4 linked regions of the Rhinolophus ferrumequinum genome follow. The protein of the gene in region 1 interacts with the protein of each later gene in a biochemical or structural test. Links are inferred from orthologs where the notes say so. Each region holds a gene or a part of one and is shown in the gene's direction. Other genes may lie near its edges. The genes, in order: TJP1, JAM3, CLDN7 and CLDN8.

What was found.
Region 2: the proteins of TJP1 (region 1) and JAM3 form a complex in vitro, tested with the Homo sapiens proteins (2 studies listed by BioGRID and IntAct, with this or other methods). The link is inferred for Rhinolophus ferrumequinum from reciprocal best matches to the Homo sapiens genes TJP1 and JAM3.
Region 3: the proteins of TJP1 (region 1) and CLDN7 form a complex in vitro, tested with the Homo sapiens proteins (2 studies listed by BioGRID and IntAct, with this or other methods). The link is inferred for Rhinolophus ferrumequinum from reciprocal best matches to the Homo sapiens genes TJP1 and CLDN7.
Region 4: the proteins of TJP1 (region 1) and CLDN8 form a complex in vitro, tested with the Homo sapiens proteins (2 studies listed by BioGRID and IntAct, with this or other methods). The link is inferred for Rhinolophus ferrumequinum from reciprocal best matches to the Homo sapiens genes TJP1 and CLDN8.

The regions. Positions count from the first base shown.
Region 1 is NC_046311.1:13,164,347-13,171,444, forward strand, and holds the start of TJP1 (tight junction protein ZO-1), read left to right. Parts: upstream 1-4,078; 5' UTR 4,079-4,117; coding exon 4,118-4,290; intron 4,291-7,098. UniProt on the Homo sapiens protein: TJP1, TJP2, and TJP3 are closely related scaffolding proteins that link tight junction (TJ) transmembrane proteins such as claudins, junctional adhesion molecules, and occludin to the actin cytoskeleton.
Region 2 is NC_046308.1:34,592,011-34,599,184, forward strand, and holds the start of JAM3 (junctional adhesion molecule C), read left to right. Parts: upstream 1-4,168; 5' UTR 4,169-4,222; coding exon 4,223-4,298; intron 4,299-7,174. UniProt on the Homo sapiens protein: Junctional adhesion protein that mediates heterotypic cell-cell interactions with its cognate receptor JAM2 to regulate different cellular processes. Plays a role in homing and mobilization of hematopoietic stem and progenitor cells within the bone marrow.
Region 3 is NC_046304.1:11,570,650-11,578,288, forward strand, and holds CLDN7 (claudin-7), read left to right. Parts: upstream 1-4,776; 5' UTR 4,777-5,255; coding exon 5,256-5,478; intron 5,479-6,323; coding exon 6,324-6,488; intron 6,489-6,607; coding exon 6,608-6,692; intron 6,693-6,779; coding exon 6,780-6,942; 3' UTR 6,943-7,139; downstream 7,140-7,639. UniProt on the Homo sapiens protein: Plays a major role in tight junction-specific obliteration of the intercellular space.
Region 4 is NC_046285.1:96,770,995-96,778,450, reverse strand, and holds the start of CLDN8 (claudin-8), read left to right. Parts: upstream 1-4,577; 5' UTR 4,578-4,771; coding exon 4,772-5,449; 3' UTR 5,450-7,456.

The DNA.
Region 1 (7,098 bases):
GACACAGTGTGCTAAGCTAAAAAAAAAAAATTTGTCTTACCAGCCTCCTTGCAGTGAAGCGGGTCGTCAGTGACTTTAAGTAGAACTCTGGTTGGTGTTTCCTGAGACTCTTTAAAGGGGGCTGACTTGGATGAGAGAGGAGCCTGTTGGCCCCTTGGTCTTGCCCTTTCTATTTTCCTAAAATGTGGACAAGCTGGCTAGAGCTCTGGCAGCCATGCTGTGACCCTGATGATGGAAACAACATGCTAAAGAATGCAGAGCGGAAATTAAAAAGTGCCTGGACCTCTCATGACTTTGTGGAACCACCTTACCAACCCCAGACTGGCAGACGAACGCCTTTTTTTCCTACATGAGAGGAAAAAAATATCGTTTCATTAAGCCATTATAACAGGCTCTTGATACGGCACCAACATCATTTCTCATTGACACATCCTAAAATTCTGGATGTTTATTACATAATAAATCGAAGATCGGTTCACTCATAAGGCAAACATTTACTAAGTAGCTACTGTATGTAAGAAACTGGATCAGACAAGCCACTGTCTACCACCTACAATAGTAATGCAAGATAAAAATTGAAAAGGATCAGAGGACGGGGTGACAAGACGTCGTCTTAGGAGAGCTTCCTGAAGAAGGTCAGGTGTGCAGGTTTTAAACTAAGCAAACTTGAAAACAAGTGATCACAATCTATAGAAGAGAAGAAAATAGTACGTTTCCTTGAGAGGGAGAAAATTATAACTGATAATTCCTTCTTTCTATTTTTTACATAATTCAGCCAAATGTAAGAACCACTAAAGGCCAAAACTGAAGAATGTCATCAGTTTTGCCAAAGAGCCTTCCCAGCGAAGAAATTCCTCATCTCAGGTTAGTGGAAGGAAACTATTAAAGCAACATGACAGCTGTTACTTCCAGTCAGTGGGAGCTGAACAATGTAACATTGGAACTGACAAGAGCCAGAATTCATGGCCCTGCCTCTCATCAAATCCACCAATGCAGGAAGTGAAAAGGGTACGTGCACGGCTCCCCAGAACCTCTGCGTCCTTCTACTACATGACATTCCCATTTTCATAACAATTTGTCATCGTGAGACGTTAGAACAGTGGCGATGAATAGAAGATCTGAAAGCTTCCAGAGTGGGGGACGCCAACAAGCAAACAATGCTCTCAGGACACAGAGGGCACTGGGTTTCTCATTGGCAACCTTGGAAACTAGAAGACAAAGGAGCAGTGACCTAGAAATTGAGTCAAATGAGTTGCAACCTAGACTTCCATACTCAAGAAGCAATAAATCAAGATGATGGCAAAATCATGACTTTTCAGATATGCAAGGTCTTATAATCTCTAGGTCTCATGTATTCTTATTATTAGAAAAGATTATCCATCAAAACAAGGAAGTAAGCCAAGAAAGAAGCTAGGCGGTCCAGAATACAGGGGCCCCAACATAGGAGAGAAATGAGAATACTCAGACAACGTGAGCCTAGAATAGAGGCAGCAGGATGGAGGGCTCCTGGAGGGCGGGTCCAGGAAAAAATGGAAACTGATGGATCGTGTGTAGTCTGAGTCCATGGGAAACTATATTGCAAGGCATTTCACATTATTGTTGCAGACATAAGGACACTTAGCCATGGATATTAATAAAATTAAACAAGTTGAAAAATAAGGCAATTAACTCCAGGTAAAAGAAAAAGTTGTAGGAGAAAGTGTAATCGTGGTACAACACTAGTGTCAGTATCAAACAATGTTTAAATAGTCACAATAAATAAATATGTGGAGTTAACCAAAAATGTTGATGGTCCACAGGGAGGACATATAAATGTCTTGCCTGGGGTTGCCAGCATTCTGGAAGTGGGTGGGAGAAGAAAGCTTAGCATCTCAACTCAAGACACAGGCCTTCCTGATTTCTCCTTTTCAGTCTGAGGTTGCTAAGATCTATAGTAAGAACGAATCTTCTATCCGTGGAATTGCCTAATTTTATAAATTAAACCTTATCATAGGTAGGTATGTAGAGAAAAAAACCCGTATATATAGGATTTGGTACTATCTGGGATTTCAGGCATCCACTGGGGGTCTTGAAACACATCCCCCATAGATAAGGGAGATACTGTATAAAAAATTAGGCTTTGCTTTACAGGTTCAGATAGGCCTGATGGTACGCTACCATGGTTTAGTTAAATAATAACTGTTGCCCAACAATGTGATTTAAATTGCAGTTATCATGGCATTACCTGTAAGTAAATGCATACAGTACAAATGCATATAGTACGAACATGCTGCTAGCTCTTTAGTCCATAAATCACTACATAAATAACATGCACATCATGACCAGTGGCCAATCACAGCAGTTCTTTCAAAGCCGGTCCGTGATTCGTCTCTGAGCATCTGTTATTTAGTTTAGGCACTGATAGCAAAGTGTGCAGTTGTGCTGCCTCTTTCTCTCTCTGGGATAAACCCACAAAACACTGTATTTTTATATAGGTAACTAAAAGAGGAAACTGGCCACCAAAGGTGGAAAGTGCAGCAAAGAAACAAACAAACAAAAAATGATAAAGATGGAAATGCAGTGAAATTGGAATGAAATGTAATTGGAGTTATTAAAAAAATTGGCAACTGGGAACGTTGACATTACCATGACGTTTCCAGAGAGTGGACATGCAGTCAGAGGAACTGACTGAATGTGAACTTGAGTGAGGAAAGTGGTTGTGACAAAAATGATGAGGGAGTCCCAGAAGACATCACAATTCACAATAGTGAAAGAGCAGGGGTTAAATGTTGACAGTGATCCAAACTTTGCTTTGCCAAGGCACAGAAAGGATGCTATCTGGAGATGTAACAATTCTACCAGGAGAAAACACACACTGTTCCAGTTACTCTTGACAAGTTTTCCTTACAAAGAAATGAAACACTTGAATTCTCAATGTTTTAAATTACATTGTATTCAGTGATTAGTTTTACAATGTTTTTCATTTCCCTATACATTTATAACCATCAATGAAGAAAGTTTGGAATGTTTTGACAAAATTTTTTGAAGGTCACGGAACAATCTTATTTTTCCCCATTGATTATTTGCATGGTTCGTGGTCATTTCCACAGTCCCAAACTACTGTGCAAATGAGGACTGCATCACACACACACACATATATATTTATATATATGTATATATATACACACACACATATATATGATATATATATACCAGGGGTGCCAAAAAATGTATATAAGGGGACACTTTGGCAACGTTGCTTAAGTGGTAGTTCACCATCATCCGAAGTGTCTGGACGCTGATGGGAACCACTTTGAGCACCTCTTGTCATTGCAGAAGTCAAACGTGCCTTGTATTCATCTTTTGTTATCGGTATATATTGAGCATTACAATTTTAATAAGTTTTCCTTTCTTAAATTGTGTACACATTTTTTGGCACTCTATATATCATAGATATGTACACACACGTGTATATATGTGTGTACATACATGTGTATGTGTGTATACATGTGGGTATATATGTGTATATGTATACGTATGTGTATATGTGTATGTGTATATGTGTGTATGTGTATGTGTGTATGTGTATATGTGTATGCATGTGTGTATATGTGTATGAATGTATACACGCATATACACACATTATATATTATGTGTGCACACCAGAATGCATTTTATATACACATCATCTCCAAACACATTAGGCTAGAAAACAAATGATGGTTAGGAACCATTCAGTGGTAATTATAAATGTAAAAAATTATTTTTTTCTGCTCTGGAAACCTGTGGTTGCGATCCTGGTATAAGCGGATCCCGTCAATGCGCTCCCGTCACCGGGGAGGAAACTGAGGTCGGCGGGGCCGGGCGGCGCGAGGGGGTGGGTGGGCGGAGCGGCCCGGCCTGCCCGCCGCGGGATTGGGCGCCGGGAAAGTCGGGCGGCTGCGCCGCCCGCCGGGTGCGCCCCGCGGGGGCCGCGGCTGGCGGGGATGGAGGGGGCGGTGCGGGCGGCGGGAGCGGCGGGCCACGCACGGCGGCGGCGGCGGCGGGAGCGGCCGGCACGCACGGCGGCGGCGGCGGGAGCGGGAGCCCGGGCCACGCACGGCGGCGGCGGCGGGAGCGCATGGCCCAGAGCTGATCTATGCGGCGCTTGGAGAGGCTGTGCCTGCGGCGGCGGCGGCGGCGGCGGGGCCCTGCCCGCGAGCGGAGCGGGGACAAGATGAAGTACCAGAAATACCTGACGGTGCTGCAGATGGCCATCGGCGTCACCCCCTCCAACCGCGGCAGCCTCCTGCCGCTCAAGCGGAAGCTGTGGTGAGGGAGCGGCGGGCGCGGGCGCGCCGGGGGCCGGGCCGGGGCGCCGGGCGCGGAGATCGCGGGGCGCCGCAGCCATGTCGGGGCCCGGGGCCGAGCGTCGCCGCGACCCCCGGCTGTGCCCGGGGACACGCAGAGCGAGCGAGCTGCGCGCTCCCTGGAGGGATGGAGGGAGGGAGGGGCCGCGGGGAGCCGGGCGCCCGCCCCGGGCTTTCGCGGGGACGGCGAGCCATTTCTGAGCACCGTGCGCGTTTCCCGTTGTCCCCCAGGCCCCTCCTGCCGCGGGTGCACAGTGAAGGACGGGCCGCGCCCACGGCGAGGGGCGCGTTACGACGTTACAATGGCATCGGGACTGTATTTCACCTGCATGGGCTCCGGGTCCCCCGCCCTGGAAACTGTTACTGGGGGAACGGGAAAAGGATGCCCTTAAAGGAAAATGTCCAGGACTTACCCAGAGCTGGTTCACACAGTTGATTTTCTGCCCAATTGTATTGCATATTATTAGCATCTAAGTGTGTCATATGGAATCCCAGTGGCTTCCCAGGCTTCCCTCGACTGGAGACTTAGGTGTAAGGTTCTATCACAAAAGGAATAGTCAGGTAAAGCGATGGTGACCATGGGAAAAGGAGGCCAGGAATCTTGATATTCAACGATCGTTTCCATTTTAAAATTGAGGGCCAATGTAGTTCGTAGAGGTTTCATTCAATTCAATTGAACGGTAGTCTAATTTAATTTTAAGGTGATGGAGAAGGCAGTGAGGCTGCTTTTAGGCGTTTGAGAAAAGTAATTTCTGCTGTATAAGACAAAAATGAAAGAATTATCCAAGGACTATCAAGATTGAGCAGTCAAGAAAAAGAGGAGTTAAAGGAAAAAAGAATCCCAACAGTGGAGAATTTTGGAGGTAAGACCAAAAGAATATGGGCTGCGAAGTTCCAATTTCAACTTGGCACTTACTGTGTGACCTTAAGCAAGTGAACGGGAGTATCTGTTTCTTCCTCTGTAAAATGAGCACAGTGCTATTTATCTGCCTCCTGGGGTCACAGATGAACGGAGAGAGTGGATACAAAGTGCATGCCCCGGTGCCTGGCTGAGTAATGGGTGCTTAGTGACTACCAGAGTCCTCCTCCCTGCCTCCCCATTTGTTTAAACAAAGACATTTATTCTGCAAAAGGCAATATAATTTGATGGACAGCAAGTGACCACATCGAAGACTAGACTGGTAAAAGTTGGCAGTAACTGAATTAAGAAATGTCCATGGAAGAAGATGTTAGCAAATATATGAAGAATATGTCATCATTGTGAAGCCAGAAGTAGTGACATTTGAAGATGACTTTTCAGATTGACGGTGGATAGGGAAAAAAAAGTCAGCACTAACAGTAGTACCCCCAGCCTGCTTTTCTCCAGAGCACTTATCAATATCTAATACTACATATCGGACTTAATTTTCATATATATCACCTCTCCCCACACTAGAATGTAAGTTGTATGGGGGCAGGGCTTTTGTGTATTTAATTCATTACTCAGTCCCCTGCACTACCTGCTACGGAATAGTTCTCAGCAGCTATGTTGAGTACATGAATTCTTAATGATACCTAACTGGGAAAGAAAGATAAGGAAATCCGTTTTCTTGATGTCAAATTTACAAACTAAGATGTGGGACTTACTTTTGAGGAGCCTTCAGGTATATGCAGGAATTGATCACAAAGTCCGTCAGTTACTAGGTTTTATTCTTTTTCATCATCAGCATGCTGCTTCTCAAAAGGCATTCCCCAATACAGAGTTTGTGAAGAGAGAACACCGGGAAATACAATCCAGGTAACTTTTGCACTCTAGAGATTCACATCTGAGGCAGACGGTGAACTGGGGCCAGGGTTAAAAATTCATCTTCCTAAGAAGAGACAGCCTGGGAAGGGCCTGAGCAGTTGGTTGAACTTTCCCACCATTTTAAAGGAGCATTTCAGAATATCCATTCTGTTTGCAAATGTGAATCTGGTTTCCACAGTGGCAAAGGGAAGAGCGTCCTCTACAAAAACTCTGGTGTGGGCGGGACTTTTAAACAGAGATGTCCAGTCGTTTGTTTTTAGCTGGAGAGTACCGTGCTGCCGCGACATGGAGCGGAATGATCTATGTCTTACGTCCTCTGGAATTGTTTTTCTGGATAACATTTCATTTCGCCAGTGTCGTAGCCAACTGCACGTGGGGGCATTTGAGATGGAAGGCACTGTTGAATGGCGAAAAGATAGAAAGATAGGGGTTCTGACTCCAGGGTGACGGATGGGCACCAGGCAATGCCTGTCACACTTTGGAACGCACCAGCTTATGCCCGTTGACAAGATGTGAGGGCGTGTGATGATAATTGGCTGTGGCGTATATGAAGATGGTTATGATAACGGTGATGAAAAGGTGTACGCGCTCTGTGCTTCTTTCTCTAAATGGTCACAGTCTGTGTGTAAATACTGCACGCTTGCAAATCTTACGCCAGTGAGTCCAGGTGGGGTTGAACGAAGCAATGCTTTGACCCCACACTTCCGTCCAGTTTGGCCACTTCTGCTCATCAGCTTCCTTTTGTGCGAAATCTTTCTGTCTTTCTGAATGGCTCCACAAATCCTTTAAGGAGTATTCTGTTGCAGACCAGTTTTGGGGGAAACTGAAGCAAACACCCATCTCCCCACCCCCGCCAGACCCACGTCTGTGGGGCCTGCAGGAAGCCTCTTGTGTCTTCTCCAAGAAATTTTGAATGCTGGAGCATTTGCAGTGTCAGGTTCTGAATCAGTGCTGGTTAAGAGCCTGGTACTAAGCCTGTTACCT
Region 2 (7,174 bases), on another chromosome or scaffold:
TTTATGTCTCCCCCAGTCCGCAGTATATTTTAGGGGTGGACATGCTACATGGCCTCAGCTTACAGATGTCGGTAGGAGAATTCCGTCTCCGGATCCGGGTGGTGAAAGCGGTGACACACGGGCATACTCACCATCCTCAAGTGTTGCCACAGCCCTGGCGCGTGGTTACAGTGCGACAGTACCGCCTGCCAGGAGGGCAGGAGGAGATTGGTCGTACAATATTGGAATTGGAGAAGTCACATATTGTGAAGCCAACACACAGTCCCTTTAACTCCCCAATATGGCCTGTCAAGAAGCCAGATGGGACTTGGCGAATGACTGTGGACTATCGGGAGTTAAATAAGGTGACACCACATTTGCATGCGGCAGTACCTTCAGTACACAATTTGATGGATTGTCTGACTGTCTGCCTGGGAACATATCATTATGTACTGGACTTGGCCAATGCTTTTATCTCCATTGACATTGCACCCGAGTGTCAAGAGCAGTTTTCTTTTACTTGGGACGGGCGGCAGTGGACTTTTCAAGTCCATCCACAGGGATACTTGCATAGCCCCACTATCTGCCACGGGCTCGTAGCCCAGGATTTGGCACAGTGGGATCACCTGTCCTCTGTGGCCTTGTTTCACTATGTTGATGACATTTTATTAACATCTGATTCTCTTTCAGATTTAGAGCAAGCAGCTCTCTCTCTTCTCCACCACCTGAAGTCACGTGGCTGGGTGGTGAATGAGAAAAAGGTCCAAGGCCCTGGCTTATCCGTCAAGTTTTTGGGTGTTGTATGGTTGGGTAAGACAAAGGTCATGCCTGAGGCGATTATTGACAAAATACAAGCCTCTTCCCGGCCGACTAAGGTCTCCCAACTGCAGGTCTGCTGGGATATTGGAGGGTGTCTGTACTCCATTTAGCACAAATGGCAAGGCCCTTGTATAACATGATAAAAAAAGGGGCCTCATGGGATTGGACATAAGCTATAGAGCAAGGCTTTGTTGCCACGAAATGGGCCGTGCAGCAGGTACAGGCCCTGCAAATAGTAGACCCTGGCTGCCCATTTGAACTTGATGTTCATGTAACTCAAGAGGGGCACGGTTGGGGCCTCTGGTAATGGCAGGAGCATCTCCAGTTGCCAGTGGGATTTTTGTCCCTATTTTGGAAAGGAGCGGGAAGTCCGCTACTCTCTAATAGAGAAAGAGCTGGCTGCCCCTAATGGCCAGAGAAGCCATCACAGGAATGGCATGCGTGTTGGTTCGAACAACCTATCCCGCCCTGGAGTGGGTCCGTATGTGGACCCAGGGACCCAAAACGGGGATGGCACAGACCACCACCCTCGCCAAGTGGGGTGCCTACTTGGAGCAACGTAGCACCCTTAGTCCAGCCCTTTGAGGACAGAGCTACAGCAGGTCCTAGGGCCTGTGGAGCTTGTAGCCCAGGCTGAGCCAAGCGCTCTGCCTAGGGAGGAGGACTTGTAGCCCTCGACCTACAAAGAAGGACTCCCCCAGTACCTGAAGATGCCTGGTTTGCCGATGGTTCTAGCTGAGGAGCTGCAGCCGTTTGGACGGCTGATGGTGTGCAGCCCAAAACAGACACCATTTGGTTTGATACTGGGATGGGCCAGAGTAGCCAGTGGGCTGAATTACGGGCTGTGTGGATGGTAATCAGCCATGAATCTGGGCCCCTAGTTATTTGCACTGACAGCTGGGCGGTGTTCCGGGGCCCAACGTTGTGGTTCCCCACATGAAAACAGCAAAACTGGTTGGTAGGACACCGTCCACTGTGGGGTCAAGCCATATGGCAGGACCTCTGGGACCTAGGGCAGAGAAAGGAGGTGACCCTAATGCATGTCACAGGTCACTCCCCCTTAGTGTCCCCAGGTAATGATGAAGCAGATGCCCTAGCACGGGTCTGATGGTTAGAACGGGCTCCTGCCACTGATGTGGCCCATTGGCTGCATAGGAAATTGCAGCACGCCGCAAGCTGAACCATGTGGCAGGTGAGCAGATGCTGGGGTCTGCCTTTGAAATGACAGGAGATAGCAGAGATAGCAGATGCCTGCTATGATTGTGCCATCTGTGCCCAGGACAGCCCCCAAAGGCGGAGGCTCCCCTGGGAGACACAGCAGATTACGCGAGGGAGGGTGACCCTCACTCGCTGGCAAGTGGATTACATTGGACCCCTACCTAAGGCCCGCAATGCTATGTATGCATTCACAGCAGTGGACACTGCTACGGGGTTGATGTTTGCTTGGCCGTGTCCAGCTGCAGATCAGCGGCATACAGTGGTCGCTCTTACACAGCTGTGCGCCCTCTATGGGTGCACCCAAGTCACTGAAAGTGACAGGGGTACCCATTTTATGGGACAAGAAGTGCAGCGCTGGGCTGCCAGGATGGACGTACAATGGTTGTTTTATACCCCGCATAACCCACAAGCAGCTGGCATCATTGAACACTACAACGGCCTTTTGAAGCAAGGCCTCCGGGTGTCAAAACACCCTCCTACAATGTGCGACTGGGCCTCGCATCTATGGGATGTCTTGAGAATCCTGAATGAAAGACCACGGAAGGGAGGGCCCGCACCAGTAGAAGCTCTGCTACATCGAACGGCTGCTCCCATTCAACTACAAGTTACCACAAGTGAGACTCTGTTAAAGCCAGGCTATGGCAGAAATGGAAACATTTTGCTGCCAGCCCCCACATGCTTGAAAGCAGGGGAACGGCAGCAATGGACTTGACCCTGGCAGGTCAAAAGCCCCCGCTGTCGGTGGGTGGTTGGGCCTGATGGCCCCATGGTGGGCTGGTTTGACTCATGATTTGCAAGTGACGACAGGGGTGGTGGCTGAGTGGCTACCGCAAGTGACTGTAGTATATGGAGGTCCCGATACCAGGATGATTTTGCAGGGAACCTATGTGTTCTCACTATGGCCTATTATGGGGTCTCCTGTTCTGTTACATGTTGAAACTACCAAGGGACCCCAAGCACTGTCATAAAGGTCTGGTACCACAAACTGGGAAAGGTGCCAGTGGTAGTGACCCTCCTTTCCCAGGACAAAAAGCTAGCATGTATCCTCCCAGATGGAAGGGATTTGCCATTGTTGGTTCCTAAGACTACTGTTTCTTTCCATCCATAGGTGCCTGTAGGCTAATATGACACAGGGACCCTCGCGGAAGATGCTTGCCATGTAAATTGTGAGGCGAGACCCTGTAGGTGTGGAGTGTGGGGACAGAGTCTCAGAGAGCAGTTTCCAGGCTCTCGGCCTCATGTGGAAAGGTGCTGACCCGGGTAGTAGATGGCCATCAGCTGTGGCTAATTGACCGTCAGCTGTAACCAGTTAGACAATTAGCCACTGATATAACTGCCACGGCTGCGTTGGTTAGTCAGTCGGTTGGTTGGCAGACAGAGAAGTGGACAGCAGGTTGGAGGTCGTGTGGCTCCAGCCTCCAGTGAGACTATAGTGCTGCCAGTGAGACGATAGTGGTATGACTCCCCTATCTATGGTTCCATGGGTGTTCCTTTTTGGCCTAGCCATATCCTGCATTCTTTTGTGGGGAGCAGGAGCTAGACCCCGCAGGCTGCCTTGCACGACAAATGGCACATTGAGCAGTGTCCCCTGCACAACACTAGCTTTACCAGATCAACTAATTAGCCTAATTTTATGCAGAATAAACTATTGGGTATACCATCATGCTTTTGACCTATCACGGAAATAAATTTTGTTTTAGAAAGATGTCACTTTTATGTACTGCATAATGTGTGTGTTTCTCATGTTTTATATAGATTTCAGTGCTTTTTCCTTCCATCACATTTGGTATCGGGGTCTCAAAAGAGGTGCAGACAATAATGCTTCCAAAATAACTGGGCTGCATCGTCATTTGTAAAATAAGAAACACTTTATTTTCCAAATTTTAATTAAGCGTCCTTCTCTGGTCTGTAGTGACATATTCATTTTATAGCTATGGAAATTTACCCCACTTCACTCTTAAACATGCTTCTTTACCTTCTCCCACCGAATTCATTGAAAGAGACCCACTCGGTGGGCCTGGGTCCAAGGCATCCCTGTATCCATAGTAACCGTATCAGCTTCTTTTGTCACCAGGGTGACGGCTCTGCCGGGCCAGGTGGTTGCCATGGTAACTAGGGGCGGGTAGCAGGGTCCCGGCAGGCTGCGCGCATGCGCGCGGGAATCCTGGCTGTGCCGCTGCTCCGCGGCCCCTCAGCTCCCCTCGACATGGCGCTGAAGCGGCGGTGGGGACTCCGGCTCTGCGCCCGGCTGCCCGACTTCGTCCTGCTGCTGCTTTTCAGGGGTGAGTATGCGAGTTTCTACCTTTTGGAGAGTATGATCTGGGGGCGATGGGAGCAGAGCGGGCCCGAAGCAGATGGAACTCGTATAGGCGGGAATAGCGGTCCCGGCCCCTGGGGCTCCCGGGGCTCGTCGGGAGGAGCGGCGGGCGCCCGCGTCCCCCGGAGAGGAGTCGGATCCCGGCCTCCCGGCGGGGTCCGAGCAAGTTGGGGGGCCCTTCGGAGTTTCGGGCAGTTTCGCTGCGGGCGATGAGTTCGACCCGGGCGGTGGGCACCGCCTTCTGAAAAGACAGTGCCAGCTCTGGCGTGGACTCGGGAACTTGCTTGAAGACACTGTGGAGCGAGCGCTGTGCCCAGAAGTGGACAGTGAAAGGCCTTTCGAAGGACCAACGAGGTTCAGTTCCGAGGCCTGTCTGGCATCTTTGTGACAACCCTCTGGGGATCTGCTGTTCATTTGTTCCTTGTTGTAAACAAAGGGACTGAATTGGGCAAACTGAGCTTTACTTTCGAGGAAAAATAAAATGGCACAGATCTCAGTCAAGTACTTTTTGAATTTGTCTCCAGCGCGGCCTAGTAGATCCTGCAGACCCATACTTACCCTGGAAATAGCATCTGGGCCATTTTGATCAGAACATGATACAATTGGGAGTTTTGATTTGTCTTTTCCACTGTCCGGAATTCTCATTAGATTCGTGTGTCCCGGGACAGTTGGATAGAAGGGTTAAAATAGTTTCTGTTAAGTGAGCACATACTGTATACTGGATGGACACTTTGAAATCATTATTTTATTTAAGTCCTTACAGCAACTTTGTGATGTGGGTTTTATTAACCCATTTTCAGATAAGAAAACTAAGACCTAAGTCCAGTCTCTTTTCCAAGGGTGCATTCCAGATAAGTAGTGAAGACTCAAACGCATGCTGACCTAAAGCACTGCACCACACTTTTCCTTCCCTATTGGCGATCTGCGTGTCACCAAATCAGGTCTTTTTTTCCCCCCATTTTTCAGGTTATTTTATTGTTTGGCTTATTTGCCATTGTCATCCCTTGATGTTTTCCAGAATATACCAATTAAAACACGAAGTGACTGTTTGGAGTGGGGGGTGGAAGGACCAGGGAAACTGAACGCTCCTGCTCATTCACCAGAGTGTCCATGATGGTGGCAGTAAAGCTGAGGGCCCGGGACAGAAGCTGTGGAAACGGCTCTGTGATGAATAATAAGTTTCAGGGTATAGATGTTGTCTACATACTCTGCCTGAAAATGATTTCCAAAAACATGTGGTTGACTGATATAAGTGGTCAAAGACTAGCCAAGGGGACGAGGGTGTCAGGAATGTCCAGCTCCCGGCTTTGTTGGTCACACTGACACTGTCCTATTCACAGACTGGAACAACTCCCTATTGTTGAAGAGGTCTGTTCACATGAAAGTTTGCAGTTTTTATTGCAGGAACATTTGGCAGTTTAGTTCAGGAATGAGTTTCAACTTGGTGGTTTGTTAATAAAACTAGAATATGCTAAGGACTTCACATACCCATAACCTCTTATTTTGCTCTCCTGGAGGGGCTTGCTTTGTGGCTTTCTTGAAACTAAGGAGGAAGAATCACATTTTGCAAAATAGGACCAGTGACAAAGAATCAAGGTGGTAGGATGTATTAATTCACCTTGAAAGGATGTAACTATGTTTTTTAAAAAGTAGGGGACTCTTTTTCCATTAGTTTACACCCCAAATATACTGTAATAGCTTGAAACTTTATTATTCTACGGGTCATGACAGCTGTGTCTTTTTTTATTTTTATGATTACTCTTTTTAATTGTTATTGTTTTTCAGTATTCTCATTTAAATATTTTTGGTTTCCAGTATAATACAAACATTCTTTATCAGTTACCCTTTGCCAGGCTCTATTATAAGAATTTAACATGTATTAATTCATTTGATATTACTCTAAGAGGTCGTTACTATTGTTTTTCCCATTTTGTGGACGAAGAAACAGAAGTACAGAAAGATTCAGTAACTTGCTCAGGGTGATTTATTTGGAAATCTTCAACCATGTGTTTTAATCCAAGTTTTGGTTACTTGTATTACTCAATTTGACAGTGGAGTTCTTATGGATCAGTTTAATCAAATTATCAAATATTCAAAGCTGTGTGGTTTGTATATAAAATATTCTTTTGTTGAGTTGATGACAGGTGCAATTCAACTTTACAAATGTTATGCCACATCATGTCTTTTATGAATGATTATGTAGTAATTACTGTTGGACTTTCAAATCTTTTGATGTCCTAGAAAGAAGTGCTTCATTTAGAATTAAAAAAACAGTAACAGTTTGTATTCTTGGGATAACAAAATGTGCTGAAGCCTAACAAAATCTGAAAATCAAAAATTTCAGGACATTTCTGAAAAATATTTTAAGTTTTCCATTTGCATTTGTTTTGTCTCTTGAAACTTTTTTGTTTTTGTGACTTATTCTTTTATGTTGTTTTCTTTTAAACTATCTGATAGATATAATCATGACCAGAGCTGCGTATTTTCAGTAAAACAAGGAACACCTGCCCTGAAGCACGCAGTGCCTCAAATCAGCTGTTCATTCCCAGATGAGTTGTTGATAGGCATTTGTTCGTGAATGCTTTAGACTAGGGAGACTGAATGGATAGCTATTAGAGATACTTAATCATAAGAAATTGCTGTATTACATCCAGACAAAATAATACACCCAATCCCTAAGCTCTGTGCAACTTGCTCTTAAGGCAGGCCAATGGAGTAGGCTTAAATCAGTTCTTTTGTTAAAAAAACAGATTTGTATTATTTTTGTATTATTTGTATTTCTGAGATGGCCACATAATGTAACTGAAGAAGCTATGGATTTAGTACATTCAACTAGCAGCT
Region 3 (7,639 bases), on another chromosome or scaffold:
CCTCCAGGACTTTGCCAAGCAAAAGGGGTAACAGTGAACATCTTTGTACTTTCCCCCATCATAAAAGAGATGAGTCTAAAATTTTTTCATTAAACATAAGAATTTCCTTTCTAATCTTTGTTTGCTAGAAGTTCTTATCATAAGTCAGTGTTTAACCTTATCGAATGCTTTTTAAAATTACTGATTGAGGTAACCATATAATTTTTTTCTTTAGTCTATTAATGTGGTAAATTACATTGATGAATTTTCTAATATCGGAACACTTGCATCCCTGGGATAAACTCCTTGTTTGTGATGTAGTACTCTTTAAATACACTTTTACTTTTGGTTAAGTAATACTCTACTAAGAATTTTTGTATGTATACATATTTATAGATGAAATTGTCCTCTAATATTTTTCTCGTACTATCTTTAACTGTTTTCAGAGGTAAGATTACCCTAGCTTCATAAAATGAGCTGGTCGCTTTCCCACTCCTTCTCCAGATCTGTATCTCAAATATGCACTCCAGGCTGAACCATAGGTGATCATCTGGCCTTCCTGTCTTCCTAAGCAGGCAAAATATTATCACTCGTATTTTACAGATGAGACAAGTGAGGCCCAAGAATAAATTTCTATATGAGGTGGAATTAGAACTTGGGATATTTTATTTGCTTTGAGGCTGTAACTTTTTGGTCTGACCAGTAAAATAATAACCAGTGATCAGTATAATAATAGTTTTTGAGTAATATTGCACAATTAAAATAATATTGCAAGTTTCCAAAGTTCATTTATTTGTTTATCACACTTTCCCATAGAAACAAACAAGTTGGTTGGGTTCCCATACCAAGTTGATTACATCATTATATTGCCTGTCATCTCCATGCTATGGTGTATATCCCCTAATCTGACCCAATCTTCCACCCAGACTTGATCTTTCAAATTCTTCCCCTATGACCTTTGGACTCAATGTCTGTCATCATCCTTAAAGGCACAGACTCTTCTCTGAATGTTTTCTTCCTAGAATTTAACTGAAACCTGGCTGTCTTGGAGAACACACTTCCCTGGCAGCCCTCATAACAGAGGATTACTGCAAGTCTCATTTTCTTTTCTTTTTTAAAAAAATCCCAGTTCTTTCTTTTTTCTTTTTAACTTTTATTTATTTAAGTGTGTTTTTCCAGGACCCATCAGCTCCAAATCATGTAGTTGTTTCAATCTAGTTGAGGAGGGCGCAGCTCACAGTGGCCCATGTGGGGATCGAACCGCAACCTTGGTGTTATTAGCACTACACTCTAACCAACTGAGCTAACTGGCCACCCCCAGCTCTCATTTCTTATACCTCAGAGTCTGGAGCTGGGAGTATTGCTCCCCAATTGTATTGCTGCTTCTAGATCATTATTTTCCTTCATACTTCAAAATTCTCTGCTCCTTTGCAATTCACGTCTAGAAGTGTATCACTCACCACCTCTAATTGTTACCAGGGTCTTCCAGCCTATTCATTCACTGGTAACATCCAGCCCACATTCACTGATAACATTAGCACCTGGCTCATCCTCTTCTTCTTTACACCTATGTGCCTGTCATCATGGTTGTCAACTTCAAAATCCATCAGGGTACTCCATCTAATTGTAGCCTCAGCCCTCAATCTCATCTCCAGTGATGTTTCTCTACAGCCCATCTCTAGGCTTTGTCATCTCCAAAAACAGTTGCTTCCAATGTATTGAACTCAAGCCTCCCACGTCTGATGATCACCTCCTAATCTTCTAGCTCATTCACTCATGTATTCCTTTCATTTCATGGAGACCTCTAAACCATTGACCTTATCAGTTTTTCACTATCCACCAACATTTTTTTATGTTTACTCTCCTTATCCAATTTATATCCATGATTTGACACATATAACACTCTTAAGCAGATACCTTAAGTCCCTTCTCTTTCTTTTTAGTAACCAACTCTGGTTAATTCCAACCATCCATCTGCTTGCTTCTTGCACTCAACTGTTTTTTGTTTTTTTTTGATTGTCACACTGGGGTTCAGGGGAAGGTTCTAGGGAGTGTTCTACTGGTAGCCAATCAGTAAAAGTCAAGGATGCTAAATATCCTATAATGCACAGGACCATCACCCATATGAAAGAATTATCTGGCCCCAAATTCAATAGTGTGAGGTTAAGAGATCCTGCTTTAAATTAATACTACAAGTTTCAAAGGAACAATTGACACAGGGTCTTAGCACTTGCTGTTTCCTCTGGCTATAACATTGTTCTTTCACTATTTAATAGTCGCTTCCTAGAAAGGTCTCCCTGACTTCACTCTAAAATGGGCCCAACCTCATCACATTACCCTGTTTTATTGCATTCAAAACATGCACCATTTCATTTATGTCTTTATTATCTGCTTCCTCTTTCTAGAATCTGTTACATGAGTCCAGTGTCTTTATCTGTCTTGTTTACAGCTGTATCCCCAGTGACAAACTACTACATTATATAGGTACTCAGAAAATATTTGTTGAACAAGTAAATGAAAACATTGTTAATTTGCAAATTCATTCATTCATTCATCAAATATTTATTTGTGATTAAAACCCAGACACATTTCTGCCCTCTTGGAACTTATAGGGCAGTGGGAGACCGATATTGAATAAATAACCACACAAAGTAAACAGTTTCAAACTACGATAAGGGCTTTGAAAGTAAAGTAGCGGTGAGAGCATTCAGCAGGTGATCTGACTCAGTCAGTCTGGGGTGGGGTAGTCAGGCCAGGCTTTCTAAGAGAAGTGATAGTTGAGCTGATAGCTGAAGGATGAGTCAGCTGGGTAGAGGAAGGTGGGCAGAGGGTAAATGGAGAGCATCCAGGCATAGAAAACAGAGTGTGCAAAGACACTTTGGTGGGAAGTAATGTAGTTCGTTTCAGAAACAGAGAACGCCGGTGTGGCTGAAGTACAGAGTATAGTAACCCATGGTATGGCATTTGCCAAATCTAGTGGAGCAAGAGAAGGAAAAGAGTGCCATTGGAAAATATTAAGGATTTTCATAGGAAATGACAAGATCTGTTTGTTTAAAAAAAAGTCCGTTATCAGAAACTGAATATTAGAAGGACAAGCAGGGAAGCTGGGGGATTGGTTTGGAGGTAGTTGCAGTGTCTAGGCAAGAGGTGTTGTTGGCTTGGCCTGAGGCGGTGGCAGTGAGCTTGGAGAAAAATTAGATATACTTAAGTAATGAGAAACATGGAATTTTAGAGCTGGAAAATACCTTTAAAAAGCACCATTAATCAAAAAGTAGAAAAATAAAAATGAATAAAAGACATTAAAGTCTGCATTTTATAGAAAAGCAGACTAATTAGCTTGGTATGAGGGGCTCTTTAATATGTTTATTAACTAAAAGAGGGAAAGATCTACAAAGAAATATTTGAGAGGGAGGAACGAAGATGGGAAATGCAAGAGATGAGGTAAAAGAAACAGAGAGGAATGAAATGAGAGAGACAAAGTAATAAAGGTGTGCCAGTCCGAGAGTTGTGAGGTGAGAGAGGAGTTAGACTGGGAGACATCTGGGCAGGGAGATGCAAAGAAAGACTAACTGGTGGTGCTGGACTCCAGGAGGGCTGCGGATAGGGTACAAAGGTTGACTAAAAGAAAGGGGAGTGAAATAGGAAGTGGAAAAGGCAGGAAGGGGGCCATGATAAAAGATGAGGGAGGAATGAGTGAATGGGGATGTTGGGAAGAGATATCCAGAGGAAAGATGGGGCAATAGTTTGGGAAGAACGAGAGAAGAAACCTAAGGGTGAGCTGGGAGCTGAATCTGAGGGCTGAATCAAAGGTCACATTAGAACCACATATTGGTTCTAATGTGGCAGAACGGGAGAGGATGGAAGAGCTCACACAAATAGGCAGGTCGTGGCTCAGAATGAAAGAAAGAAATGCTAGCATGGATGGGGGGGAGCGGAGAAGAGGGGAAGGTGAAGGACAAATTTGGAAAGGCTCCAGGGAGGGAGTGAGGCGTGTGGCCAAGACTCAGACGGAGGTGTTACCCTTCTCCCCACTCTCAGCTGGCGTCTGGTCATGGTGGTTTTTCCCTTGTTACAATGACCCTTGATGCGGGAGGGGTTAGTGACCACCGGGAAGTGGGGTGCAAAGAGTCCAGGCATTGTCATGTCTGGGATTAGAATGCGGGGCCAAGAAGATGGGGCCCATGCATGGAAGCCGGGTGTCTGTTGGAGAGCAGGGTAGAAGAGCGAAGGACAGCGGCCAGGGGCGGGGGCATGCTGGAGAGGTGCCTCTGGGAGTTCTGAGGGCTTGGAGCCAGGGCCCCTGAAGGTGGGATCCACTAGGATCCGAGACTGAAGGAAAAGGAGAAGAAAGAGCAGAAGGTGGGGGAAAAGTAGGGCGGAACAAAGAGCGCCTGGAGTAGAAGCCTAGGGTCCCTTCGGGGAGGAAAGGCAGAGCAAAGACTGGCCGGGGTCGTCCTCTACACTCTGGCTCCGCAGCGTCGCTGGCGCATCTGTTGGGGAGTGGGGAAGGGGCATCCTGGTGCCCGAGCGAAGTCCGGTTCAGAGGAGCCGACTTTGAGCGTGGGACTTCCAAGAAGCTTCCGCCTCCTCCCCACCTGCGGTCAAAGCCGGGCAAGTGAAGGGGCGTGACCCTGGTGCTCAGGTTTCTTCCTCATTACCTGGGCAAGGAGGGGTGGGGGCCGGGACTTCCGGCCTAGGTAAGTGTCCCTTCGGTGACGTCAGGTCACTCTCGGCAGCCCCTCCGGTCCCGCCCCCCCCCCGCGCTCCGGGTGCCCGCGGGGACGCGCCCCCGACGCCCTACATATACTCAGGTGCGCCGCACCTGTCCGCTCGCACCTGCCGGCTCACGGCTGAGGTTTCTGGCACAACCTCTCCCTCGCACCGCCTCTCTCACACAGCAGCCTCCGGCCGACAGCCCCGGGTACTTTGGAGACTTCCAGCACCCAGGACCGCGCCTGTACGGCCCCTCCACCTTTTGTTTGGGTAGGGTCGCGGAGAGCACCAGTAGGAAACACCTGGCCTTCGCAGATCGCCTTTGTTGACCAGCAGTTCTCCGGTCGTAACCTGTTCCCTCTACTGAGACCTTTGCACCGCCAGAGGGGCGATTTGTGTTTACTTCGGGTGATCAGATATTTGCAGTCACTGGATCAAAATTTTTTTGACTTTTCGGGCGACTTATAACTCCAACTTGTCTTTTGTGGGGTTGCCCTTCAAGGTTTGTTTGTTTTACTGCAGAGGCGCCCGCCCGGCGCCCCCGGTCTTTTCTGAGGGCGGAAATGGCCAATTCGGGCCTGCAACTGCTGGGCTTTTCCATGGCCCTGATGGGCTGGGTGGGCCTGGTGGCGTGCACAGCCATCCCGCAGTGGCAGATGAGCTCGTACGCGGGCGACAACATCATCACGGCCCAGGCCATGTACAAGGGTCTGTGGATGGACTGCGTCACGCAGAGCACCGGCATGATGAGCTGCAAGATGTACGACTCGGTGCTCGCCCTGCCGGGTAAGACCGCGGGACCGACGGGGCGGACGCGCCCAGGGCCGAGGTCAAGGGGTGGGGTGTCGGTCAGGCCCCGCTGACCGACGCCCTTGGTTGCCTGGGAGTCGCTGGAGAGAGGAGGGAGCGGAAGCCGTGGGGATGGGGCCGTGGTGCCGGCCAGAGCGGACTGGGGTTCCGGCGGCTGCACGTGGGCCCGCCACCCCCCCACCCCCCCGGTCGGGTGCCCCTCTTCCGCCCCAACTTCTCTCGTAGAGGCCAGGTCCTGGGCCGGGGTCCTCCCTCCCTCACCGCCCTGGGCAGGCAACGGCCTCCGCCGCTCCCGCCCTTTTCTCTCCGACAAAGGGTGGCGCAGGGCCGAGGCCGCAGGGTCGGGCCGAGGGCGGAAGAGCCGTACGCTCCGTCAGACTTGGGCCGCCGCCTGCGGCCTCTAATCTTATCGGCCGATTAGCCGAAGCCACAAAACCAATGGCCTCGATAGTGGGGTCAGAACTAGGACGCGGGCCGTCATCTTTGGTCCGCGCGAGGTCTCCGGAGAGGCCGTTGCCTCCGGTCCTATTAGCTGTCCCCTTTCACCCTTCCCCCTACTCGGGGCAGTTTCATCGAAACCTGGGCGCCCCGGGCGGGTACTAGAGAAGAGAGGGCGGGGCGGAGCTGGAAGGCCGCGGCGTCGGGAGGGTACGGGATCCACTCTACTTCCGCCCGGGACTTGGACACCGAGAGGCCCCCAGGCTGGCGACGGGGTCCAGCGGCCATTGGTTAGTGGGCACTGTGGGCGGTTCGAAGGCTCGAACGGTCCGAGAGCCGCCTGCACTCCTAGCGATGACGGCGTCCTTGCCCCTTCCCTGCAGCGGCCATTCAGGCCACTCGAGCTCTAATGGTGGTATCCCTGGTGCTCGGCTTCCTGGCCATGTTCGTGGCCACGATAGGCATGAAGTGTACACGCTGTGGAGGAGACGACAAAGTGAAGAAGGCCCGTATAGCCATGACTGGAGGCATCATTTTCATCGTGGCAGGTAAGTCACAGGTCCAAGATGGGCTCAAGGGCTCTCCTGTCTCCCATCCTGGAGGAATGATGGTGGGCAAGGTGCTGGTTTGGGGGCTCATAATATCTGAATCCTCATTCTCTCTCCAGGTCTGGCTGCCTTGATAGCTTGCTCCTGGTATGGCCACAAGATCGTCACAGACTTTTATAACCCTTTGGTCCCCATGAACATTAAGTGAGTATGGGAGCCCTGCCTCCTAAGGGGTCCTGGGGCTGGGAGAGGCAGGCCAGGGTTTCTGACCCCAATCCCCTCTCTCCACAGGTATGAGTTTGGTCCTGCCATTTTCATTGGCTGGGCAGGGTCTGCTCTGGCCCTCCTGGGAGGTGCACTACTCTCTTGCTCCTGTCCTGGGAACGACAGTAAAGCTGGGTACCGTGCACCCCGCTCCTACCCTAAGCCCAACTCTGCCAAGGAGTATGTGTGAGCTGAGATCCCCTTGCCCCTGCCTGGTAGCCCATGGGTGTGCCCCAACACCTGAAGGGCCCTGGGGCAGAGCCCAGCCTGTGGGCAGGGTGCGGAGCAGAAGCCTTTGGTCACTCCAGTCCTGCACACCATGTACAGTTCCCTGGGGGGTTGGGTGAGGGAGACAAAAAGGGGTGGGTGTGCTTTTTGTACAGTAATAAAAAGTATGTTTTGGAAAAAAGGCTTTTTTTTCTCCTTCAGGGCCTCTCCTTTCTCCCTACCCAGATCCTACAAGAAGCCTGGAGCCTAAAGTATGCCTATTTCAGCTATCCCTGTTCCACCATTTCATTGTCATTCAGGTCCCAACACTTTGACTATTGACTCTAAAAGACTCAGGTGTTTGGTTTCCTCCAGTCCCTTCCACTCCCAATTCTTGCTTAAATGGCTACCAGAGTTTCTTTTTTAATAATAATAAAAAAAGACTTTATTAGGCTTGGAGGAGGGGTTTCCTAGTCTCTCATCTTCCCCTCTGCCCCCACCCCACTTTCTGTCATGAATGGATCTACTCCCTGACTCATGGGTCATAGGGCAGGGCTTCCATAGACACACGGAACAAAGGTGGGGGAGGCACAGGGTAAGACTAGAGGGAATAATGGAAGGATGGTTATGGGCCCAAGGCCTACACACTCCCCCTCCAATTACAGGCTGGTCAAATCTCA
Region 4 (7,456 bases), on another chromosome or scaffold:
ACCGTGACCTAGTCTATAATTAACAAACTATCAACATGAAGACAAGAATGGGAGATTGACAAGAAAGGTATGCCAATAGTGACATCAGATTGACTACTCTCTGAAACTCTAAATAAAGAATCATTGTGATGTGGTTATTCCAGTGGAAAGTTCTCTGAATAAAGAATCTAAAAATATGCATTTCAAATATCAGTGACTCAGATATTTTTTTAAAAAGTCATAACGCTTGACCACACAAATAGTTTTCAACAATGTGCTAGCGAAGAAAACAAAACTGTGCTGAACAAATTCTGTTTCTTCATTAACTTTGAATATATGTGTCAACATGAGAAATTCCCTTTCTCCAGCTTTCTTTGGGACGTAGTAGACAATACAGGAGAGAACAAGGGTTTTAGATACAAATCTGTGTTCCATTTCTGTGAATCCAGCAAACAATAGCTGTATGGCCTTAGAAAAAGCACCCTCGCTATTGAGTTTTAATTTATTCAATTATAAAAAGGGTCTTCTCTGGATGTTTTAAATTTAAGGTGTAATGTGCGTGTAAGGAACCAGTGGCACAGAAACATTTACTAATCAGTAGACATTGTTATTACCAGCAAATTCCAGCTCCTTTAAAAATTTTTCCCAAAGCATTAAATTTAGGTTGATTCCTATCAATTTTGTCCATAGAAATTACTTATTAATTTAGAGAAAAAAGTCCTCCAGGATATAGTTCAATGAAAACTTCTTTTCCTCGTATTTCCAGTCCTTTAGTGGGGATATCCAATATACCATACTCAATGAACCTGCCTCCCAAAATATGTCAGAGTTCACCACAACTCAGATTTCAATTTTTAAAAATGCAATGAAAAGTAGAAGAAAGATAAAAGCCTTTCAATAATCATTATTCTCATTGTCTATTTTCTTTACTTAGGTTTGCCCCAGCCCCCACCTCCTTTTTGATCCTGGAAGAAACTCTTGAAACAATAAGAATAGACCCTTTAGAATTATGAGAAATTAATTGAGCAGATTAGTTAGTAGCTGATGTTATGGATGCAGGTTGTGTCTTCCCAAATTCATATGTCGAAACCCTAACTTTCAATGTGATGGTATTTGGAGGGAGAACCTCTGGGAGATGATTAACTTTAGATAAGGTTGTGAGGGTGGAGCCCTCATAAAGGCATTCGTGTCCTTATAAGAACAGAAAGAGAATAGAACTCTCTCCCTCTCCCTCTCTGCCATGTGAGGGTATAGCAAGAAGACGGCCACAGCTCCCTGTGGAAAAGGAAGAGCGCTTTCACCAGAACTCCACCATCTGGTCCCCTGATCGCAGACTTTTCAGCCTCCAGAACTAGGAAAAACTAATTTCTGTTGTTTAAGCCACCCAGTCTATAGTATGTTGTTCAAGCTGACTAAGATGCTAGACAATTACTATACAGGGAGAAGTTCATTTTTAAACAGAGCAATTAAATATAAATATGAGGTGGTGAATATGGAGGGCTACTAATGGTCATGGATACAGACCTTTGGGAACAGATAACATGAGCAGCTAGTCAGCACAACGGACAAATAGGACAATATTTCAAGAACGTGTAGCGATGCGCAGTATTATTTTGGGAACAACAAACAAAGAGATCTATTGATATGTTTATCTGTTTTCTCTGGACAAGGTGGTCAAACAAATACAGTTAATTGACAGTGAAAAATAAATAAAAATAAATAAGGTTGAAAACTGTCAACACAACAGAAAAAAATAAATCCAGAAAACAATAGAAACTGGCGACTATTGTTTGATTGGCAGAAGCAAAGATTATTTCAAGGAGTGATGAGAATTAATAGGAACCCCAGACTAAAGAGTTGTTGGTTAAGGATTAATTGCTGTAAAAATAAGAATGACAACAAGGGCAGTCTGACAGCGAGATTGTGTGTTATCGTTTATAAAGAGAAAACATTTGCAGGTGTCATGTAGTTATCAGGACTGAATTTAATTGCTAAACTTAAATCATGCTTCTGATAATGTTGACAAAAGGGAGATCTCCAGAGAGGGAACACAGTGGGTCAACATGAGCATGCTTTTCTTCCTTGGTCCTTGATAATATTTTAGTTCTTCCATAGAAGTGGATGTACAGATTATAGACTACTGTGTATAGGTTGCCTTGTAGTTCTGAATTAAAGAACAGCAAAAATGTTATTAATCTGAAATTCTCTAATGACTACTATCTGACTTTTGCAGGCAAGTTAATCATCTCAGTAGGACAGAATATTATCGAAAAGTAGACAAACAGTTCATTTTACTTTTTAATCTTGGAGTTTAAGTCTCTTGGTCCCTAGTGAACTTATTATTACCATTTTCCCCTGTCTTTCTCATTTTCCTTGACCTTTAGGGCACAATTATTTCAAATTATCATGGGATTAATTGGATCACTGTGTAATAAGAAACATACCTGGATGCTCTGGGTTAGTTTCTGCTAGCGCAGTTAGCTCGATAATTATTTATTGTAAGCTTAGGGTTGTTTTTTTACATTCCGATCCTAATCTTTTGGCTGGGCAATTCCAGTAGGAAAGTACTAATATTTTTGAAATGAGGAAAATATTTTTGCGTGAAATAAGTTCCTAGTACAGCTCAGTGCTTAAGGGAAGAAAGGTTTAGTAGCATGAAAAGCAAACAGATACATCACTGCATACACGGGAGGCACTCCCAGGCTCTCAAATATATAGATACCTATTTACCTCAAGTTTTTCCATTTTTATCTGGATGTTTAGCAATTTAAAACACGGTGTCTAAAAAATACATCACACACAAATTTAGAAAATAAATTTTGATTTGATTACCAAAAAAAAATTTTTTTTCTGGTCTGTCATTATATCAATAATTATATAATTTCTTTTTCATTTTCCAATTCTGTCCATCATGCCCCTTTCCTAGACTGAAAATGAAAGATTGAAAAAAAAAATCTGCTGATTTGATTTCAACTTTCCTTTTGTGGGTTGTAGGTGAGTTTTCCCAAGATTAACCTATCTCCCTCTGCATCTCAAAGCCTGAAGGAGAAAATGCTAGATACTTTCTGTCAGCATAAGGGACACACTGCAAATTAGTCCTTAACAGGTCAACAAATGAGAAAATTACTGTAAATATCAAGCTTTAAATTTTCCTTTCTTACTTTCAACATGTCCAGTCTACTAAAATAAAATAATAACAACTTAAACGACTATATATTCCTTTTTTATGTTTTTAGAAGACAGTTGATTTTGGCATCTTCCTCTTCCGCTCCCTACCACCATTTTTGTTTCCATAATCTCTGTAAAATACTCAGATTTTTTGGACCATTACACTTTCAAAGTTTAATAAGTGAGGGGGAAACACTTTCTCCCGTACTCACATTTAAGGTAGTACGAGGAAGCAGAGAAGTAAAATTGTAAAGAAATTATATTTTTTTATGATACAAACAGGAAAAGCATTAAAGTACAGCTTGAAGCTTGGAAAGACATGACAGAGAGCTCAAGGTGATCTTCACGAGATCATCGCTGGCGGATTTTTCTCATATCAACATGTATGTTTATTTTAGTGACTGTTAAATCATCATTATTTTGAGAAGGAACAGTTCAAACTGCCCTACATTCAGGGGCTTCTAATTCCTTTTGCAGACATGGTATTGAAGACACGTTTCGTTCAATCATTATAGTGACCTCGTCTTATAAAAATTTTGTTTAGAAATATCAGCCATTTGTATGGATCCAGGACTGGTATCATCTGCAGGTTTCTAGTTGCTTCAGTCCAATAGGACAGAGCAGCAAACATAAAGCAACAATAAACCAGCGATCTGTAAATCACTTCATCATTTAATTGCTATTGCAGTGTTTGCTACATAAGATCAAATAGATTCTTTTTTTGGTTGTCTTTACAATTTTTTTTCCTCATAAATCAGGATTCAAATTCCAATAGGTATTTTTTTCTTATACAGTGTTTTTTTTTTCCCCCTTGTAAATCAAGGTTCAAATTCCAATAGGTCGTTTTCCTGGCTCAAAAGAAAACGATATGTGCTTGGTGCCATGAAGGGACAACTTATGTATTTAATTACTTGAGCCTCATTTCATCCTTCAGCATGGTCTGTTCCCTGATTTTATCCCAGCAGAGCCTGCTTTGAAGTTGTAGGCAAATTAAATCACCCTCTTGGATCCCATGTGTCCCAAAGAATGTGGTTCCCCAGGTATGAGAAATCTATCAATCCCCTACTCTTCTTTCACTCTGGCATGTTGACAAGTCCTAGCCAATTTCTTAGGCTGACATTTTATTTTATACCTTTGTCACAGCAGCTCTTACTCAGTTACAGAATTGCCTGTACACGGTGTACCTTTTCATGTGACAAGGGATTGGTGCATTTTTTGATGATTGTGCAAACATTCCTAATTATGCCTATAGGTAAACATACTGCTGTCTTCTTAGAACACTGAGAAGTACAAAGAATGTTTATGTGCCAGTCCAGCCGTTCCAAGTATCTCTTGTCGGTTTAGACACACCTGGTTACCATCCCCCTCTTATTGGCCAAGAAACTTGCCCCACCTGATTTGTAAGTTTACCTGTTAATGTGGGGGGAACAGGGAGGGGGGCTCAGCCAGCCAACACTGGATTTAATCTAGCTGGAAGTAGCAAAGCTGTTCTTATTTGAAAAACCACTGGGTTCTGAGTTCATTGCTAGAGGAAAGCTCTTCTCTCCTGGGACACAGAGCACCTTGCTTCAGAGCAGCCCTACTACCTCAGGAGTCCAGTCGGTCAAACCCATAGCAGAGGATAATGGCTACCTCTGCTCTGCAATACGCTGCGCTGGTGCTTGGTGGTGCTGGCATGGTGGGCACAGTGGCTGTCACCATCATGCCTCAATGGAGAGTGTCTGCCTTCATTGGAAGCAACATTGTGGTCTTTGAAAACATCTGGGAAGGACTGTGGATGAATTGCATAAGGCAAGCTAACATCAGAATGCAGTGCAAAATTTATGATTCCCTGCTGGCTCTCTCTCCGGACTTACAGGCATCCAGAGGACTCATGTGTGCTGCTTCCTTGCTGTCCTTCCTGGCTTTCATGACGGCCATCCTGGGCATGAAATGCACCAGATGCACTGGGGACGACAACAAGGCGAAGGGTCATATCCTGCTCACTGCTGGAATCATGTTCGTTATCACCAGCCTGGTGGTGCTCATCCCTGTGAGCTGGGTTGCCAATTCCATCATCAGAGACTTCTACAACCCAATAGTGGATAACGGCCAAAAACGTGAGCTTGGAGAAGCCCTCTACCTAGGCTGGATCACGGCACTGGTGCTGTTGGCTGGAGGGGCAATATTCTGCTGTGCTTCTTGTGGCAATGAAAAGAGCAGTAGCTATAGATACTCCGTACCTTCTCATCGCACAACCCCAAAGAGCTATCACATGGAAAAGAAGTCACCAAGTGTGTACTCCAAAAGTCAGTATGTGTAGTTGTGTATATGTTTTAACTTTACCTATAAAGCCATGCAAATGACTAAAATATCCACTATTTTCTAAAAATGGAACCCAAAGGAACGTTGACTTGCCGTTCTTAACTGCAGAACATTAATTACAGGAACTGTGCATCAGCTATTTATGATTCTATAAGCTATTTCAGCAGAATAATGAGATACACAGTGCTCTGATGGTTTTAGGAAGTGCAGTCAGTTTTCTAAAATGGTTCATACATCTTTCCCTTTTATCAGTTACTTCAAAATGACATTGTTAATGACTATTATTTTACAACTGTGATTTCTCTATGACATAGCATTCTGTATGTAGATGAGAGTGACGTTTATATCTCACATAAATAGAGACAGGCTTATATGGTTCTATTTTAAATGAAATACTGATTCATTACACTGAATAAACAGAATTCAACTATTGCTTTTCGGGGAACTCGGGGATAAGAGTGAGGACGGTTAATATTAATTGTTTAAAACCAGCTTAGCAATTAATGCACTTGATTTATAATGAAGGTTAAAGAGAAGGCTTTAATCAACTGTATAAAGGAAACTAAATGGCTTTCTGATATCCTGTTTTCCTAGCTTCTTTATGCTTTTCCCCTAGAGGCTTTCTTTTTCTTGTATATTAAATTAACATCTTTTAAAAGGCAGATATTTTGTTAAGGAGCTTTGCATTCAATCAGCTTTCCAGAGGTGTGCTAAGAGGAAAGAGAAAACTGCGATCTATGTAAACATGAAAGACTTCAGGAAAGTGAAAAATATTTTTCCTCTTCAATTTTTGTGGTTGGAGAAAGATACATTTTGACAAGAAATCCTATATGTGTGTGAATATTTTAATAACTACTTAAAGACTTCGGGATTTTATCAATATAAATAAGTAATGTATTATATTGGACAGAAAAGTAATGTATTATGTTTTTTGCTGTCCAAAAAATAAAAACAAGTTGTGCTTTATGAACTCCATCTTCTCCTATGTGGATTCCTAAGTCAAACTTGTCTTTTCAGTTGTCAAGATAAATTTCTTATTCCATTTTTGTTCAGTTTTACTAAGGTATAGAAATACAATATGTTTGTGTTTCCCCCAAATTTGATACACTTGATCATCCCATTTGAAAGTTTATTATCTACATTTTTCCAGTTTAAGTGACTATGTATGTTATCAGCTTTATGTCCTTTGTATCAATAAATTTTTCTTTTATAGTAATTTGATATTATTTTTCCACTATTCTCCTTTTTTTATTATTATTAACTTGTAAAGAGTTTTTGAAAACCTGATATTTTGGGATACCTAATTTTGAAAAGAATATCAAGGCCACATTTGAAAGATAAAGGTAGATGTGGCATTACTTTTTGAGAAAATAAAATACCTTATGTCACTTAACAATTCTATACCTTATAATCATTGAATTCATACACTAACTTTTGATGCAGATAATGTATTTGTAATTTGTTAACATAATACCATAGGTCTCAAATCTATATACTATAAATATGTATGTAATAGTCATCTCTGTAAAAACTTTCCATCACTAAATACAGTTCTATCTTTGAGAAGGAATATCAATTAATAAGAATGTTGAATGTTTGTGGGGCATGTATTATGTGCTAGGACCTCTACTGTTTTATATGCATTATGTCATTAAATCTTTTATGAGACTGATATTAGTTCAATTCACAGATGAGAGCATCTCGGAACAGCTCATTGATTACCCAGTAGAGTCAGGACAAAAAATAAGGACTTTCTGACTTCATAGCTCACGTTCTTTCTCTTCAGAAAAAGTAGACTTTCTTCAACACTGTCTGGTTTATAAATTGATTTTTGCATAAGGAAATGACATGCATAGCTACTGTTAGTTGGGAACATATTAGTGTTTTTTTCTGGGATTGGTGATTTTCCTGTAGCTAAGTGCTAATTTGTCCTAGGCAATTTTTCCTTCTGGGGTCAAATCATTCATGAGAACAGAAAAAAGAGAACTAACTGAGCAGCTTGGAG